Caenorhabditis elegans: one gene and its partner. The protein of the gene in region 2 purifies or fractionates together with the protein of the main gene of each other region. This does not show direct contact. Each region holds a gene or a part of one and is shown on either strand. Other genes may lie near its edges.

Region 1 (6,814 bases), on a different chromosome or scaffold from region 2:
CTTAGTTATTAAAAACCCCACGTAGTGAGATGAAGTTACAAAGTGCTCAGCGAGTATCTTACAGAGTTCAAACCACGAAAATGTAAATGTCAAGCGGAAAAAGGTCATATTGCTTCCTGTCTACTTTTGCTCTTTGAACATCCGTTTGAAAAACATTCAGACAGTGGAGCGGATTTCCATAGATTTTGATATTTCCTGTTTTTTTTTTGAAAATGGGTTTTCAATTTTGATGTCAGGTGCATCACATGAGCATTAGCAATATCTATGGTTTCCAAAAACGGTGCTTCTGCGTCCTCTTTCCAAATTTCCCGTTCCTCTTCTTAGAGACGATCTATCGGATGTTATTATTATTTCTATTTACTTATTTATCCTTTATCCTTTGATAAACCTCATGCAGTTTGGCAAACTGGTCAAGAACGCCCCATTTCTGCTCTAGCTCCGCCCAGCTTCCCTTATTCTGCCCGCAGCTCACTCTTTAATGTTCTCACCTTATCAACGCCACCCAGAGTGTGTGCAGAGGCAAAGTTAAACCAACTGCGGAAGGCATTCGTTTTCCGACATCAAATATATTTAAAATATCAAATATCTTCTCCCAATGTTGACACTGCGTTTTTGAGTAATCTTCTCCGATGTTTCCCGATCCACATTTTTTTCATCCATCCTTGAATCAAAAACAGATAGAGTGAATAGAACTTTGATAAAAATCTAAATCAAATAGGAGAAAAAAAAGTTTCCAAGTACAGTATCCATTCTTCTACAAGTCTCTAAGTCTCTCTTCTTCATCTCTAATCTTGTTTAGGAAGAGCTAACCTTGTTTAGTTTTTTGTGCTGCTCCTGTTGCTGATGCTCTTTTTCATTTGTACATCCTCCTTTTCTCTTCTTCTTTGTGTCTGCTTGCAACAACCATCTCGGCATCTTCGGAGCATCGACATTGAACGATAATTGGGTTTTAGGTGCCTGAATTTCGACGGAGGGAGGCCTCAGGGTTTCATTCGACATGGCACAACGAGATAAAGAAAAAACCACAAAATCGACGAATCAACATTGAAAAGTTGACAAAAAATTAAACATTCTTCCTTGTTCCTTTTTGGTTCCGTTTCCTTCTTGTGTTTGAGCTCTTTGGTTCCTTATATCTGTCTATCAATCTTCAAAAGTTCAGAATTCTTGTGCTTGTTTCCATACCCATTTTTGGCAGTATGATGTGTACATACTTCACTTCAAAAGTTTTGTGGAAGAGAACTACTTGTATGTTTGCCCTTGTGAGAGCGATGTCTGTTTTCATTTCGTCATACTCCATCTCTTCATCGTGTTTCTATCAATCTTCTTTTGTAATTTATCGATTGTACCCTCTACCCACGTTCACTTTTATCATTACCGTGATTTGTCGTCGGCGCTGCTTTCCCGAGTGTGTGTGATGCTACACAGCCATTTCCCCCCATTTCTTCAATTTACTAATTCCTTCATTCCAATTTTGGATGCGGCTGATCTGATCCGAAACGTCATGTCATGCAACCCAAATGTTCTCAGTTCTTGGTTGAAACGGGGAGGGTCATAAAAGTCGCTCCACTATACGATATCACTTCAACTTTACGCACAATACTCATCATCATTACATCCTTGCACTCTTCCACAATGTTTTTTTTTTCAATTCCTAAAACATTTCCCTCTTTTCTTTTCAACAGATTGACCTATATTTTTTTCTAATTCAGACATTTTTTCAGCCATGACGGTGGGTAAACTAATGATTGGCTTACTTATACCGATTCTTGTCGCCACAGTTTACGCAGAGGTATGTTTGTTTAATTGCAAAGGGGTTTGCGCGGGTCGATTCCCACTGACTCGTAACACCAAATTGATTGAAACCACCCGACCAGTCATACGACTGGCATTTAGAAAACCAAAGTTATTTTTGTTAAAGAACTCAATATTTTGATCAAAGATGCTTATTGTGTAATCACTTTAATCAGAACTAATCTAAGATTATATATGACTAGAACTCTCGACTAGATGTTCTATTTCCTAGCAACGAAAACGAACAAAATTGAATAATGCAAGTGCACTTTATTAGACTTTCTGGTCTCTGGGGGTAAAAGGGCAATGTTCAGAGAATGGATTACATATTTTGCATACTGTTGGAAGTCTTACATGAACATATTATAATAGCCTAACTTGTCGAAAAGCAATCAAGACTCAATCTCACAGCTCTCAAGCACCCCCACTCAAGTGCCAATTGCAAAATATTTTTGCAGGGTTCCCCAGCAGGCAGCAAGCGACATGAGAAGTTCATTCCAATGGTCGCATTTTCATGTGGATACCGCAACCAGTATATGACCGAAGAGGGATCATGGAAGACTGATGATGAACGATATGCCACCTGCTTCTCTGGCAAACTTGACATCCTCAAGTACTGCCGCAAGGTATTGTTTTGTATGGTTTTGGGTTGAACACAATCAAGCAATTTTCAATAAAAGTTTACGCCTTTTTTGCAAACATTTAATTTGGCGTTTTCATGCTCTAAGTCTTGCTCCGTGTAGTCACAAATGTCACAAATACAATTGAAATAGGGATAGGACCAACATTGCAAGGAAGACAATTAAACTTTAAACAACCATGGTTCTCTGGCTTTCACAAAACTTCCAATCCTTCAGGGATTTTTTGCTGCTTCTCATAGATTGTTCCGGAAACAAAACAGACATAGAGCAAAGATATACACATTCCCCGCGTGCTTCTTTTTCTCTCCCAACAAGGCGTAAATTTGAGTAAGGACCTCCCGTCGGTTAGTCCCATGGGGAGGTGAAGTTGAACACGCGACTCGATTGCACACATGAGTTTCTCAAGTTGGTAGTTGTACACATTTCTAAGAAATGGGGACACAAGAAATGTAACGAATCAAATCTCGTTTCAGGCTTATCCATCCATGAACATCACCAACATCGTCGAATACTCGCACGAAGTGAGCATCTCCGACTGGTGCCGCGAGGAAGGATCGCCATGCAAGTGGACTCACAGTGTCAGACCGTACCATTGCATTGGTGAGTTGTAATACATCAAATAATACTATGACAAGAAGCTGGATGTCAGCTTTTTTGCGTTTCTTTTAAGAAAGCTCACTGAAAATAAATTATGAGTTTCCGTGTCAATTAAATATCTAGTGAAAAGGGAAATTGAGAAAGATATTTAGAAACTGATTTTTAATCTCATTCCCCCCGTTACAGACGGAGAATTCCACTCGGAAGCTCTTCAAGTCCCGCACGACTGTCAATTCTCGCACGTCAACTCGCGCGACCAATGCAACGACTACCAGCACTGGAAGGATGAAGCTGGAAAGCAGTGCAAGACCAAGAAGTCCAAGGGCAACAAGGATATGATTGTCAGATCATTTGCCGTTCTTGAGCCATGCGCACTCGACATGTTCACCGGTGTTGAATTCGTCTGCTGTCCAAATGACCGTAAGTTACCATGACAGTTTCCAGATGAGTCAGTTGTAAGTGTCATAAGATGATATGACTTAGTACGGTGGAAATAAAAACATTAAGTAGAGGGATTAACGGAAAGTAGATCATTCATCATTTTTTTTCTCTGCAGAAACGAACAAGACTGATGTTCAAAAAACTAAAGAAGACGAAGACGACGACGACGATGAGGATGATGCTTATGAGGATGATTACTCAGAAGAGTGTAAGAAACGATAATTCTTTTTTCTAATTAAAGATTATATTTTTTATTTTCAGCCGACGAGAAGGACGAAGAGGAACCAAGTTCCCAAGATCCATACTTCAAGATTGCCAACTGGACCAACGAGCACGACGATTTTAAGAAGGCAGAAATGAGAATGGATGAGAAGCACAGAAAGAAGGTTGACAAGGTGAGATCAAGTGGATAATGATTTAAGGGAAGACTATGGAATTAGTATTAGATACCACTTTCGCAAATTGAATCTTCTTTGAAGTTAAAAAAGACTTTTAATTAAAAATTATTGCATGACACAAACTATGAATATTCAGGTGATGAAGGAGTGGGGAGATTTGGAGACGAGATACAACGAGCAAAAGGCCAAGGATCCAAAGGGAGCCGAGAAGTTCAAGTCTCAAATGAACGCCCGCTTCCAGAAGACCGTTTCTTCGCTCGAAGAAGAGCACAAGAGAATGCGAAAGGAGATCGAGGCGGTTCATGAGGAGCGTGTTCAGGCAATGCTTAACGAGAAGAAGAGAGATGTAAGAACTTAGGCGAAGTAAGACAACATAAACTAAATAATGTGTTTTTTCAGGCTACACACGATTATCGTCAAGCTCTCGCTACTCACGTCAACAAGCCAAACAAGCACTCTGTTCTCCAATCTCTTAAGGCTTACATCCGTGCAGAGGAGAAGGATCGCATGCACACTTTGAACAGATACCGTCACTTGCTGAAGGCCGATTCAAAGGAAGCTGCCGCATACAAGCCAACCGTTATTCATCGGCTTCGGTAATAGAATCAAACATTCCTGATTAAACTAAAATTTATTTAGCTACATCGATCTTCGCATCAACGGAACTCTTGCGATGCTTCGCGACTTCCCAGATCTTGAGAAATATGTCCGTCCAATTGCAGTCACCTACTGGAAGGACTACAGAGACGAGGTGTCACCAGATATCTCAGTTGAGGACAGTGAACTCACTCCAATCATCCACGATGATGAGTTCAGCAAAAAGTAAGAAAGACTCCGCTTTTCCATAGCATTCATTACAAGCGTTTTTCAGCGCCAAACTTGACGTGAAGGCTCCAACAACCACCGCCAAGCCAGTCAAGGAAACCGACAATGCTAAGGTTCTCCCAACCGAAGCATCTGACTCCGAGGAGGAAGCTGATGAATATTACGAGGATGAAGATGATGAGCAAGTTAAGAAGACACCTGACATGAAGAAGAAGGTCAAGGTTGTTGACATCAAGCCAAAGGAGGTAGGCGTTGAAAAAATTCTGAAAGTTTATCTGTAATTTATGGAACTTTCAGATCAAGGTCACAATAGAAGAGGAGAAGAAGGCTCCAAAATTGGTGGAAACATCAGTACAAACTGATGATGAGGACGATGATGAGGACTCTTCCTCGTCCACTTCATCCGAATCTGATGAAGATGAAGACGTAAGGGTTTCCAATCTTCATATTAATTTAATTGTTTGCATTTTTCAGAAAAACATCAAAGAGCTTCGTGTCGACATTGAGCCGATCATCGATGAGCCAGCCTCATTCTACCGCCACGACAAGCTCATCCAATCACCAGAAGTCGAGCGTTCAGCGTCCAGCGTCTTCCAACCATACGTCCTGGCATCGGCGATGTTCATCACCGCTATCTGCATCATCGCCTTTGCCATCACCAACGCTCGTCGTCGCCGTGCCATGCGCGGTTTCATCGAGGTAGACGTCTACACACCAGAGGAGCGTCATGTCGCTGGAATGCAAGTCAATGGCTATGAAAACCCGACGTACTCATTCTTCGACTCGAAGGCCTAAACCACCAAGACCGTACTTTTTTTACTCACTACTACCAACAATTTTACACCAAAATGATCCATTCTCCTATCTCAGATACACCTTTTTTCAAACTTTTGTTCTGAATAACATCAAAATTTCAAAATTCCATTCCCCTCCACCCTCCCTCTCTCTTCAAATAAAAAAGTTGTGAGTGTTACAAAATTATCAAAAATATTCAAAATTAAATTCAAAACCAATTCTCCCCGTAGCTGTTTCGTCATAACAACAAAAACCGGACACTCATGCTTGTTGTTCGTATTTTTTGATATCGATCTATCCGTTTCACACGAACTAAATTGAATATAATTCACGTGTTTTTAGTATTCAGAAGCACCGATCACCTTTCTATTTTTCCAACTCATTATTCTTTTCTTCAACACTTCCTAACCACCCCGATCTTGAAATACACCCTATTTCTTGTGATAGTCTTATTATGCACACTTCTCTCTGTCTTCCGATTTGCTCGTTTACTGAGTTTATTTCTTAAGAAAGTCAACAAACATTTGTATTAATAAAGAAGTCCAAAGATGAATTTGCATCCCAATATGCTTCTAAACTTTTTTCGTTTCACACATTTTATTGTCGTGAACTTCTACTCGTTTTCTTCTTTGTAACAACCTATTGTGAAAGTTTTCCAATAAAAAATCTGAAAAATACAGGAAACATTTAGTAATAATGATGAAAGAAAGAGAAATCAAAATTGCACATTACAACGTTTTTTTTTTTTGAAAGAAGAAGACGGTCAGAATTAGAAAGTTTCTTGGAAAATGAAATCAGTAGATCGCTTTGTATTGGTCGTTGTCGAACGCATCGAGCCCGGTCCCTGAAATTAAATCTATATGATAAATTGAGTGCATTAAGCAAATTATAAATAATGTCTGTTATCTTTTGTAAATTTAGAAAAAAAAACAATCTCCCGGTCATAACCACTTTAGAGGTTATGAGTTTAAATGAAAACAAAACATTAAAACGTTAAATATGACGTCAAATCTATAATTGTGATCAGAAAGATTTAAAACATCGATATGGGTTTTACAGTCACAAAATGACCATTTAAAGCCAAAGTCCAAAAAAATGTTACGTCGCTTCTTAAAAATTGATGATTTAACAGATTGTCTATTATAATTAAGCATTTAAAAGAATTTAAAAAAACATCATTTTTGGGAATAACTATACTTTAAAATGGGGGTAGGTTCTGTAGGTTTTTGGCTTAAATGACAGTAAACAGTCTTAATATATCAAGAATAATTGAAAAATGTATAGAGTTGTTCTAAAATTCTAAATGATTTATTATCAACTTTGCAG
Region 2 (5,297 bases):
AATTTTTTCACGGCCATGTGCTAAAATTAGCCAATCTTTTTTGATAAATTCACAGTTTTCAATAATATTGGCGCGAATTTCAAATTTTTTGAAAAAATTAATTGGTTTAAAAAAATTTTGATTTGAAATTTGAAAAATAAATTTTCGAAAAAGTTTGTCGGGAAATTCAAATTTAAAATGTTTGCTATGAATATCAAATGTATATTTTCCAATTTAAAACATTCAATTTCAAATTTTAATTCTGGCGCGAACTAAAAATTTCAAAATTTTTCAGATACAAAATATCGGTGGCCGAATATTTTCTCATTCGCGGCCACGTACCAAAAAATGTGAAAAAAAAATCTCCAAATAAATTTGTATGTGAATCGCCAAAAAAAAATTTCGACGCAGATCTCTAAAAATATTGAAATTTTTCAAATAAATTTGGTGCGAACTTTAAGAATATTGATTTTTAAAAAACCTTTGAAAAAACATTTTGGCGCGAAATTCCAATTTAAAATTTTCAAAATTTCCAAAAAATTATACAATAATGTAGTCATAGTTTCCCAATTTCCATGAATCTTTTTTTTTCCCAAAAAAAAAAGAAAAAGTTACAAATAGTTAAACCCTTAACAAACTTTACAACTAGTCATCATCAACACTCATCAACATTCCTATGTTAACCTTTTCCCTGACTGAAGAAAAAAAAATTCTTTTCCCTTAAAATTTCAACAAACACATCTTTCTCTATGCTTTTTCCATACAATTCTCATATTTGCCGACACGCCTGTTGGCATCGCTTGCGCAGCTCGCGGAGCAGCTTCAGGAGCAAACAGTCTCACACATTGGGAAGAGGAAAAGCAGACGAAGAAGAAGAAAAGAAGTCGAGATTTTAACATTTTTGTGTGTGTGTGTTTTTATAAGTGTCTCTATCTATTTTCCCACCATTCTTGAACCATGTGTCAATTTTTTTTAACGCAACATTTTAAGCTCATTTTTCGAACTTTTACAAGAAATGTATCTTATTTGAAAAAAAAAACATTTAAGTAGATAGACAGACCCCTATGAAAATTCATATCATTTTGAACTAGAAAAAATGTTGCTCCCGGGAGCAAATTTTTTTTAAGACCATTTTTTTCGATAAATTTTTTTTTCGCACTCTATATGTTTTTTCCAAGTCTAATTAATTTTTACAATTATATTTTCACCTCAATTTTGTTTCTTTTTTTTGAAAAAAAAATCGGAATTTTTTGAAATGCGAAAAATTTTCAAAAATTTTTTTTTGAAATTTTTTTTTCTGTAACTTTGATATTACCTGAATTTGCCATTTTAACTATTTTTAAAAATTTTTCAGTGCTATAACAGTGCTTTAAATTTACAGAGACTTTCACTTTTCCGAAAGTTTTAGAAAAAAAAACAATTTTTGACTGAAGATTTTTTTGAGAACTTCTGAATTTTTTTAAATTTCAGATCGGCTTTTTCGTGATAATATTTTTTCTAATATATTTTTTCAAATTTCAAAAACATTTATTGCTACGAATTAAAGTTGATTATATCATAACTTTTAAAATTGTTTTCACCTTTCTGCATTTATTTTAGTTATAAGTTTTTTTCCGTTAAAGATGTTAAAAAATTGTCAACTAACAAAATATTTACTTAATATTTTTGAACAATTTGTTAGTTTGACACTTTTTAATATCACTTATGGTTCACAAAATATGCACGTTTTTAAAAAAAGTGCAAAGGCCTGACTTTATATGTTAAAACATGCATAACTTTTTAACTATAAGTGATATCAAAAAGTTGTCAACTAACAATGTGTTTGAAAATATTTTTTAAACATTTTAATAGTTGACAACTTTTTGATATCTCACACATGAACAAAGTTATAAGCAATTGAAAGTTAGTGCAAAAGCCTGAAATCTGAACACGATCAAATCTGTGAAAAAGAGAGGGACAGGTGTTATAAAACACTGAACAACTCAAAAACTATTTGAAAAGGAAAATTTAAATTAATAATTCTAATTACAGCATTTTTTTTTAACTTTAAGAACAAAACAATTTTGATTTGAAAAAAAAAGAAAAAAACTTGGAACGTTCAGCCAAATTCCGAGCGTCATTGCATAAAAATTTAGCAAATATTTATTGAAAAATCCAAAATTTAAGTTTTTAAACAATATTTTGCTCTACTTTTCTTGTTTTTTTTTCCAAAAACTCTTCCAAAAAAAAAAGCAAATTTTCAGCCGCAATGAGGGAAGGAACTCCGCGCGTCAGAATTGAAGTGAATAAGGGGTAAGTGAGTGCTCTTGACACCTCCCAGCCTCCATTTAATCCGTCCAGTTTCTTTTCTTTTTTGCACAGTTTTTGCTCATTCCTTTTATTGCAGCAGCAATCGACCCAGTCAATTTGTTTCCGAGTCAGAAGAGCAACGGCTGCAGCGAGTACAGAGTCGAGATTCTGATACGGCTACTATGAATTTTGTAACCGATGATCGAATGATGGTTAGTTTGAATTTTTTGATTTTTGCCTGCCTGCCTGCCTGCCTGCCTGACTACCTGCCTGATAGGTCGCCTTGCAGGCAGGCCGGTAGGCAGGTTCTCAGGGCCCGAATGCTGGCGTTTATTCTACCTATTGAATTTGAGTTTATTTAACTTAAAAAGAGAAATGATATTAATAAATTAGAAATTCTTTTTGAAATTTGAAGAACAAAAGTGTACTTTGCTAGTAGGTCGCCTTGTAGGCAGGTTTCTACGAATACCTGCATATTTTTTTCAAGCCTACAAGCATGCCTACGTGCCTGCCTTTTAGGAAAAAGCATGAGGCAGGCGTAGGCCGTGTTGAAGGCATGCTTACTGTACCTTCCGATTCAAAAATATACCGGAAACCCAGTTTTCTGATTGCTTATCACATTATCATAATAATAATAATCCCATTTTCAAACAACGTGCTCAAAAATTTCCTGTTTCCTCCTGTCGAAAAAAGAAAAAAAACAATAAAACACAATTTTGTAGGAGCACCCTTTTCTCAAGAGTGGACATTGTGTTGAAATTGGATATCCGTTTTTCTTTTTTTCAATAAGTGCATATTCTTGTTCCCAACACTGTTCGTGACTCTTTTTTCTTCAAATTTTTGCATAAAAACATTTTTCGGATCGTTGTTCCGGAGTTCTTAGAGATCTTTCTTTTTTCGGCTCAGTAGACTTTGAAGCCCCGTATCTCTGAAAGTTTAAGTGCTAGAAAAAAGTTACAAACTCTAAAAATATTGAAAAAATGTGATAAATATTTTTGTGGTTGACAAATTTTTGATAACTTTAAACAGAGCTGAGATATGAGCCCTTAAAGTTAAACTTAAATATTTCCTCTGATACATTTCCCAATATTTATATCTCTACGGGACACCAATATTTGCTCAACTGCTCAAAATACAAAACACATTTTTTTGGCAAAAGAGAGTGCATAGTAAGCCAAAACAGAGCACAAAAAGATCATAAAACTTTTTTTTGGAATTTTGGCATAACTCAACTTGGACAAGGCAAAATGTAAAATGACCGCGAAAAAAGTTGATGGCCTAGTTTTTTGAGTTTCCACGGCCACGTAGCAAAGGGCCACACTTGACTGAGTGGTCACAAAAATTTCGTTTTTTAATTGGGCGGAATGGGCGGAGTGTCGTTGTTTGTGCGACCTCTGACAAACCCCAATAAAAAATTTTTTAAAGAAAACTTTTTCTTCCCGCCGAGCACATCAGAGTACTCGAAAAGATCCAGTTATATGTACGTTCTAGTACTACTTAGTAAACGAAAACTTTCTCAACTCTTTCTCTCAGAGAGAGAGATCTTGGGAAAGAAGAGATTTATGTGCACAAAGAGCATTTTGGTGGGGGCATCCACTTCACTTTTGCCCTCCCCATATCCTCGGGGCCCCCCATTTCTACCGCATTCATTTATTCCACTATTTGGCGGCTCAGGGCTGCTGGCATATACAAAAAGATTTCATCTCACCAGCCTCTCACCTCTTTTTTTTTTTGGAAGAAGACGTTGTCGGGGTCTTACACGAAAATCAGTCCCCATGAGAATTTACCCCCGGCGCCTCTTTGTTAAGACGGCTTCCATATTGGTATTAGTGTGTGGCCGTGAGATATTGATGGCTGGGAAACTCCTCACGACCGTGGCCTAGTTTGCTTTTTCTAGACCACGGAACCTTTTTTCCGAATTTTTTAGATTTTTCAGAAATTTTAAGGCTCGTTAACAAATTTCTCTAAAGGTTTTTTCCGAAATTTTCATTTATTTTTCTACATTTTTCGATTTTTTTCTAAAAATGTTTAATGTTTTTCCCGAAAACTTCCGATTTTTTTTGGAAAATTTTTTAGATTTTTTAACGAACTTTATTTTCGAAATTTTTAATGTTTCTTCTTGAAAAATTGATTTTTCTTCCACACCGCCTAATTGCAATATTAAGGGTATTAGTGACGTCATTATTTTTCTAAGCCAACTGTGACGTCGTTGTGTCGAAGGGGTTTCTAGGCCATCTGTGACGTCACTGATTTTTCAAAATAGTGCCTCACTAGTTTCTAGGCCACGAGTGGCGTAATTTCTCTTCCACATTGTCTTAGCAAACCTTCTAGGCCACGTGTGACGGCATTTCTTCCCCACTCATGACCGTTAAATTTTCTATGCCACCTATGACGTCATTTCTCTTCCACCAAATGATTTTTTGTGTTCCCTCCAAAGCAAAACCTCATAAAAAGTGGTTAGTCACCAAAAAAGAAAAGCGCAGGAAAACTTTCGACCGCTAGCCAATAGAAGAAACCAATTTCATTCGCCTTTTTTTTTGCTCGTTTCATTCGATCTTCATCTCTCTCTTTTTCTTTCCTCGCCTAACTTTGTTTTTTTTCTTCCATTTTCTTGCAAATTGAATTTACATGTATGTATGTGTACGAGATTATCGCCTAATATATGTTTTTCTCTCCTCTGAAGCTCCTCTCTTTTGTCCGCTTCTTCGTAATTTGCTAATCCTTTGGCTGGAAATAGAACAGCTGAAAATAGGATTTTTCCGAAAAAATTCGAATTTTTGTTCAAAAAACTTATGTTATTTCTTCTAAACGTCTAAAAATCCGATCTTTTTAACAAAAAATAGCCCAAAACCCCAAAAAACCGGAAAACAACGACGCTCCGATATTCCGCTTAACCACCACCACGTGTTGTTTAGAATTTCGATAGTTATCGTAATTTTCTGCAAAATGAATCAATATTTTTGTTTGGAAAATGTGATAAAACAATTTTAAATCACAAAATTAAATTTTCGCATAATTAAACTATGAAA

The links.
Region 1: the proteins of feh-1 (region 2) and apl-1 purify together in Caenorhabditis elegans (affinity purification with western blotting, with the first as the bait; one study listed by BioGRID). This does not show direct contact.

Annotation. Positions count from the first base shown.
Region 1 is NC_003284.9:5,111,774-5,118,587, reverse strand, and holds apl-1 (Amyloid-beta-like protein), read left to right. Parts: upstream 1-1,721; 5' UTR 1,722-1,723; coding exon 1,724-1,789; intron 1,790-2,249; coding exon 2,250-2,417; intron 2,418-2,707; exon of another isoform or gene 2,708-2,839; intron 2,840-2,905; coding exon 2,906-3,032; intron 3,033-3,215; coding exon 3,216-3,449; intron 3,450-3,585; coding exon 3,586-3,678; intron 3,679-3,731; coding exon 3,732-3,865; intron 3,866-4,004; coding exon 4,005-4,214; intron 4,215-4,267; coding exon 4,268-4,464; intron 4,465-4,507; coding exon 4,508-4,690; intron 4,691-4,739; coding exon 4,740-4,938; intron 4,939-4,990; coding exon 4,991-5,119; intron 5,120-5,167; coding exon 5,168-5,488; 3' UTR 5,489-6,166; downstream 6,167-6,814. Other genes in the region: C42D8.1 (MARVEL domain-containing protein), read right to left, coding at 6,258-6,332. UniProt on the Caenorhabditis elegans protein: Required for normal developmental progression throughout all life stages. Specifically required for the molt stage during all larval transitions and morphogenesis.
Region 2 is NC_003281.10:2,547,705-2,553,001, forward strand, and holds the start of feh-1 (Protein Fe65 homolog), read left to right. Parts: upstream 1-2,215; 5' UTR 2,216-2,227; coding exon 2,228-2,271; intron 2,272-2,365; coding exon 2,366-2,480; intron 2,481-5,297. UniProt on the Caenorhabditis elegans protein: Modulates pharyngeal pumping activity, at least in part by regulating expression of the acetylcholinesterase genes ace-1 and ace-2.